Linked DNA regions of Danio rerio. The protein of the gene in region 2 purifies or fractionates together with the protein of the main gene of each other region. This does not show direct contact. Links are inferred from orthologs where the notes say so. Each region holds a gene or a part of one and is shown on either strand. Other genes may lie near its edges.

Region 1 (3,662 bases), about 2.7 Mb from region 2:
TCAGCTGCGTCGCGCCAAGAGCGCATTCGCTATTTACAGGACGCAAAGTAAGTTTAAGTGGAAAAAAATGAGCATTTCACAAGCAAACACTTAACAGTTGACAGTTTTTTAACAGAAAACTGTTAAACAGAGCATCTACTGCGTGAGAATGAGAGATAATGGATCTACTTTCACATTCTCTCTTGGATAGGGAAACCTTTACGCACAGACATCAATTAGTCTATAAATAATTAATTTTGTTTGTTAAGCGCAAATATTCGTTTCAAAACTATTTCTAAATTCAGTTCTAATTTCCAGCAAACGAATAAATGAACAATAATAACAAAATGTGCTCAAAAACCTGAGTTATATCCTAAAACACATGCTGTGCCTCATATGGTCTTAAACCTGACAGGTGGGCAAATCTAAGCTTGTTTTTAATAAAACAAATATAAATATGGATATATTAAATAATACTGCTAATAATAATACCATTATACAAAAGCAAATTGTTATGAATGAACTGAAAAAGCCTCCCGAGATGAAGAAGACATAAAAGCAGTGGTTTTTCATATGTATGTAGGCTAGAAAATAATATGTTTCGTAATATTTTAATCCTTTATATTTATATCTATTCTTATTATATCCTATATATATCCTTAATATTTAAATTTTTTCATATGTAAAGATATTTGCCTATTGCTCTCTTGTGCGTATTAAGCCGTGTGTAAGCGAGGCACAACTCTGCGCCGGAGTTTAGACCGAATTAGTTTTGGTCTAATGAAAAATCTATTATAGTTTCTTAAAATAGCAACGCGCCAGCAGTGCGCCTTCCTTTTTAGACCAGAACGCTTATGGGCGCACAAATGAGCGCTAATGCATTTGCTATTTAAACAGCGTAGCGCAACGCCTCAAAACGACTCTTGCGCCAAGCTGAAACTACCAAAAGACTACTGCACCCCGCCTTGCGCCACATTGCGCCGGGTGTATGCTTAATGTGCGTAACTACAATAATCACATCGCAATGTTGAAATCATATGCTGGGATTTTAGTTGACTAAGAGCCACAGTTTAAAACCTGTGGGCTTTCACTGCAGAGTTCAACTAATGGAGTGAAGGTTTATCCTTTGCATGTGTTTTTTTAAGGCTGTGACTGTGTAAGCATTCAGGCCCAAGAGAGTTTAAAGCAGGAGTCTCAAACTTTACCATTTAAGTACAAGAATAAAGTGGAAACCTGATGTGATTGATGCATCTTAGGACAACAGTTAGACATTTATAATTCAAGCATTACCCGTCACCGGTGATGATGCCTTCACATATTGCAATGTATATTTTTCTGTATGTATATTTCGTGTTGTGGCCGACGTGTGTTCAGGGATGGAGCATGCATAGAGGCGACCTAGGCGGCCGCCTTGGGCAGCAGAATAGTGAGCGAACCCCCCAGTCCTCACTTTAATCTGCTACACCCACCCCCTCCCTCACGGTCCTTGTGTACATCTGCGAAACGGCCACTTTCTTTTTCACTTTCGGGTTGAGGGTGGCGTGATTGCCGCTTGCCTTGAGCGCAAGCTCAACTTGCTCTGGCCCTGCGTGTGTTTATCATGCAAAGAAATTTGGATAAGACCAAGTTTCAGTTAAAACAATTAATGTCGCATCACCAGGCTATCCAGCATTTCCTCCAGAGTTTCATGCAATTTCGGGTGTTTCATTTTTAATCTTTAGACTTTAACTGCAGTTCAGCAGTTCACTTTCATTCAGCATATTTTCATTCAGGATGTTTAAATGGAATTTGATACTGCATGGCGAACGAAAAGAAAAGCCTCTGCATTCCGTGACTTGCATGATCCTTTAAGGCAGGGGTGGCCAACCCTGTTCCTGGAGAGCCACCTTCCTGCAGATTTCAGTTGCTACCCATATCAAACACACCTGAACCAATTAATTTGGACCTGAATACCATGTGATAATTACAGGCAGGTGTGTTTGACATGGGTTGCAATCTCCAGGAACAGGGTTGGCCACCCCTGCTTTAAGGTAATCAAAAATCGCTGCTTACATGGTAGACTCTTAATCAGTATTATCTTAAAAAGCGGAGTATTGGGGTCCATGTAAATGTATATCAAGTGAAAGTGGCAGATAAAGTCGCAAACTGTCAAAGACAGCCCTATTCTCTGGCTTCAAGCTGTTTCCATGAGCCCTCACATTTCATAAGTGTGACGTGTTCCCCTCTACACGCAACTTTTGTAAAGCGTCTTCATGTTGCTGTGTCAGAATCCTTGCATGTAAAAGACAGCCATACTTTAGAATGCTTAGTTAAAGCAAATGTGATGAACGCGATTGTGCGTGTTGATGAATCTGAAGGGATTCCTCGCTCACCGTGTGCGCTGCTCTGTGCGTGTGTGTATGTAGTCCACTTAAAATCCAACAAGGAAATCATTTTTGTTTGTTATTTGCAGTGATTGTTTTGAAATTCATAAGGCACTAACATGCCTGTGTTTTTATTTCTGTAATAAATATGGCGTTTCGTGATTAATCATGATTAATTACAAAAAAAGCGTGATTAATTACGTCATTGTTTTAACAATTTGATCATTCTATATTATAATATATATAATTCATAAAAAAGAAGGTCTGGAAGAAAAACATACCCCTCGTGTGGCACTTGCAAGGACATGGGGAGACGGGAGGAACACTGGGCTTGAGTCTGGTTCCACGTAGACAGCGAGGAGGGCATTTCTCCGCTCTGACTCACTGAGCTCCGTGTGGTGTTTTGTGCCTGAATACAAACCAGTTACATTTGTTGATTATGTAAAGAACATAAACATGTATAGCTGTGGATATAGTGGTTATTTGACAACTGCTTTGTATTTAAATTGTTCTTCCTATTAGAATTTAAAAGTCAACATATGGTATTTTATAAAAGTAGTTTGAGTTGTTTACATTTTTAATGGTAATAAATAAATACATGTAAAGCTACTGTTTGCATACAGTGATACAAGAATTTAGCACAGCATAAGCGTAATGCATGTAATCTATGCACAGTTCACATGCACTTTTAATTGTTTTTGCAGTACTTAGTTTGTCCACTAGGTGTCAACATTGAACTGGATTGTTGTTTTGTAGTCTGAAAAGAAACTGAGACAGAAAAACAAACAAAAGATGACCTAAAAGATAGTTTAAAAGAATACTTGCATCTCTTCTTTAAATTTGTATAAAATGGTCAATCACATTGTGTGGAAAAATGGAGTATTCATTAACAGGCTGTGAGGGTATACTATCTCAGTAGTAGAGTTTGTTACAACTCATCTTCCATCAATGAAAAGTTTGGGTTTAGAAAGATTTGCAGAAATGGCTGAAAGAAGTCTCCTATACTCTAGTGTTATTTTAAAATATGCTCAATTTCTTTACTGGTAAAGCTGAATTTTCAGCATCAGTACTCAAATCTTCAGTGTTACACAATGGTTAGAGTTAGAAAAAGGCTTAGGTTTAGCTGCATGCGATTATGTCAAAAACTATGGTAATTACAACTTTAAGTATGTGTAACGGGTAACAATTCTAATATACTCATTTGAAGCTTTATTGATCAATGTTGAAAATGGTTGTGCTGCATAATATTTATGGAAACCATGTATATTTTTAGGATTCTCTAATGAGGTTTAAAACAACAGAATTTTATTATCTATACAG
Region 2 (3,762 bases):
ACATGCTGACATCAACCTTCTCAAATCTGAATTTCCTCAACTTTCCAAATGCTCTTTTAATTCCCTTCCTTTCTTTTGAGGTACTTTTGAAACAAAATTCCTATGATTACCTTTTTCAGCCTTATTTTGTTGAAGAAAATCCAAAAATCCACCTATCTGTAATTTACTGAAAATACACAGATTTCTCATTAGGACAATCTGCGGAACTGACTTAGACTGAACTGTTAATGGGGTGAAAGTCAGGGACTGCCCCCCATCTGTTAGTCAGCCACAAATCTTTTCAAGCACTTCCTCTGTAAATCAAATAGAAATTCTGATGAAGATCTAAAAAATGATCCTTTTAACACATGACAGAAATAAAGTTACACCTCATTACACTTGATAGCATGATTGCACAAGTTTTTTCTAAGCCTGCCACTGACAGGAATGAGGAAGTGTCCATGTCCATCTCTTTAGGATGAGTTGTACCAAGACTGCACTACAATACTAGATACTCTTCACGTACAACCATGGGAAAACTAGCGAAGTAAACTGTGAATTTTCCTTCTGAGGTGTCAGGGCTCAGTTTGAGTTAAACTGTGAGTTTTGACGTCAGAAAAAAGAGAGTAAAACTCTACTGGATCATAACCACATCCTGTCCTTCTTCTTTGAAATGATAGCATCTTCACTTGTCAAACAACCCCTAAATTACAATAACGTCAAATATGAACAACAGGTAAATTCATAAAGAAAATATGTAAAAGTGAGACAATGTTACATTTACAGTAAGGTTAACCATTTGGGGTGATCAGAAATAATTCAAAGCAACAACTATTTAAAAAAAGGTCAATAATAGGTAAATAAAATGACAATAACATTTAGTCTAAAGCAGAAGACAAATTCTCAATGTTAAAATGGTTTTGACATAAAACAACAAAGACCTGATGTCCACCAAGGGGCCTCAGTAAATTGCCTAGAATGACTACAAAATGGTTTGAAATGAATACTTTTTACATAATCCAACTGAATAAAATACTAACAACAATATTAATTAATTAAAATATATATGTAAACCGACATCTAATTACTTTTTTTAATTAAACATAGAAAGTTTTGGAATAAGAAAAAGGTATTTTAGTCTGTTATTTTACTGTTATTTACTGACACTCAAATAAAAAAAGTGTCTCATGGACAAAACACATTCTAATGTTCTTAACATTAAAGACCTTCCCATAATCTTTTAAATAGACACAATATATATATATATATATATATATATATATATATATATATATATATATATATATATATATATATATAAAATAAAAAAAAACTGTTTCAACTGTTCCATACATGATGTTGAATGGCAATTCAATAGTAATGGTTAATTGTTGTATCTAAACCCCCTATTTATTTACATATTGCAAATACATCTGTTTCGACATGTAAAATAGTCTACAAATGTAATAACCTTTGATAAAAACCTTTAATAATTTAAAGCATGCATAGTCTCATGACCAAGTGAGCTGCCAGCATTTATGACCATCTAAACGATGAAATGGCCAGCCATGCCCAATAAAAGGCTGCATATGTTGACAGCTCAAAAGAAAATGAAACAGCTATAGTGGATAAAACTGTACCTTAGTGCTCCAGCCATTCTGTGCTCTCCAGGATCATCCGAACCGAACCTGGGCTCCTGTCAGACCGAAAAAGATGGATCTGATGAGTGATTACACGCTGTATGATGGGGTTGTGATTCCCCTGCAAGTCAGATCCAAAAAGTACATCTGACTTTTGATGGGAATTTCCCACAGACTAACACGAACAGCAGTAAAACATATGGGACAAATCTTGTGCAGTACTCAAAACACATAACTGATATTACTAACCATTGTTGTATAATTGTTAATTATGCATTTGCAGTATCACTGTAACGTTAGCTATACCTTCGACATCATATGAACTGTACAGCATCTCTGCATTGTAACGTTTTCAAAACAAGCTTAAAATAGATGCACTAAGAAACTAAATCCTTATTTCCAAAACAGAAAGTAGACTATTTTCATGCTGTTTAAAAAGAGGCATGCTCTACAACAAAAATCTACGGTACTAATGCAAATATATATTTGGCATGATTGCATATCAAACTAACCTTGCGTCTTGTTTACTAGTTGTCGGGTTGTTTTTACAAGTCGTCGAGTCAACTAAACACTGTTAATAAATTTTCACAGGTTTGAAGACCATAAACAAAACATCGTTTATCCAGTGAATCCAGAGCATGTAATCAACGCTGTATTCGCCTGGATCCGTTCACAAATTGATCGCTCTGTTACTGTGGAAAGCCCCGACTCGGGGGGAATTCCAGTCACATGACGTGCGAGGGGAGTTTAGATTGGTTATGAGGCGGAACAGATTTGCATGTTCTTCAAAACTTCCGGCTCAAAATAGTCTATTTGCTTCTTTCATGAAATCCAGTTATGCTAAACTAAAGGTCAAAAGCAAAGTTTTGTATGATTTGACAAAAAATTCTGATGCCAATTCTGATTAGTTAATAACATTATACAACATGTTTTATACTATAATGTGTAAAAATGTTTTCATTATCGACTATCACAATACAGTCTGAGATTATACTTATTTTATATTTTCATTAACCAACATTGTGGTTTAATTACTAGAGACTAAACAGGAGCCCTTAAAACATTTGGGTGTACATAAGTAGTACACTAAAGGGCCAATATACTCACAACAAAATTCTACTATTTTAGAAGAAAAAACATGTATTTCAACCTAACATTTACACCTAAAAATAATATATAACTTTTCTGTATATGTAGTTTCAATTTGCAAATTTCAGTTCTTCTGGATTTTAAAGATTTGGGTTTGAGCAAAATGTTAATATCGGTTTCATTCTTTAACTGGCTGAACCTTCCAAATTATGTAAAGTATTATTACTTAGTGCATATTTAGAGCATCTTTTTTATCTCCAGAAAATGAAAATTGGTCAGATGACAAATGTATGCATTTGCTGTGGTAAAGATTATTTTACCAATTCATCTTCTTAAGTTAAAACATTATTATTTTGTTGTCTAAAATGTACAGTTGAAGTCAGAATTATTAGCCCCCCAGAATTATTTGCCACCCTGTTTAATTTTTCCCCAATTTCTGTTTAAGGGAGAGAAGATTTTTTGAAAACATTTCTGAACATAATAGTTTTAGTAACTCATTTCTAAAAACTTATTTATTTTATCCTTACCATGATGAGTAAATAATATTTGACTAGATCTTTTTCAAGACACTTCTATACAGCTTAAAGTGACATTTAAAGGCTTAACTAGGTTAAAAAGGTTAACTAGGCAGGTTAGGGTAATTAGGCAAGTTATTGTATAACAATGGTTTGTTCTGTAGACAATCGGAAAAAAAAATTAGCTTAAAGGGGCTAATAATTTTGTTTAATATTTCTGACTTCAACTGTATATAAACTGTCTGAATCCAAAGAAGTGACAAGTGGTCTCTTAAATCGCCCCTATTATGTGTTTTTGAAAATGACCTTTCATGCGGAGTTTAACACAGCACTAATTGAATGAAAACATCCAGCTGAGGTTTAAAACTGAAAGTGCATCATGCTTAAAAAATTGATTCTTTAACAAAATAGTCGACTCATAGTTGAATAAATGAATCGTGTTGGGTTCGGATCTTTTTGCTTGAACACATTGACGTCAATACTGTACATAACCAAATATGAAGTGCTAGATCCGGTAAACGGGAATGAGCCTTTCACTT

Evidence for each region.
Region 1: the proteins of nfkb2 (region 2) and chuk purify together in Homo sapiens (affinity purification with western blotting; 4 studies listed by BioGRID and IntAct, with this or other methods). This does not show direct contact. The link is inferred for Danio rerio from reciprocal best matches to the Homo sapiens genes NFKB2 and CHUK.

The regions. Positions count from the first base shown.
Region 1 is NC_133188.1:28,592,321-28,595,982, reverse strand, and holds part of chuk (inhibitor of nuclear factor kappa-B kinase subunit alpha), read right to left. Parts: intron 2,752-3,662; coding exon 2,624-2,751; intron 1-2,623.
Region 2 is NC_133188.1:25,863,661-25,867,422, reverse strand, and holds the start of nfkb2 (nuclear factor NF-kappa-B p100 subunit), read right to left. Parts: upstream 2,312-3,762; 5' UTR 2,132-2,311; intron 1,741-2,131; exon of another isoform or gene 1,676-1,740; 5' UTR 1,637-1,675; coding exon 1,620-1,636; intron 1-1,619. UniProt on the Homo sapiens protein: NF-kappa-B is a pleiotropic transcription factor present in almost all cell types and is the endpoint of a series of signal transduction events that are initiated by a vast array of stimuli related to many biological processes such as inflammation, immunity, differentiation, cell growth, tumorigenesis and apoptosis.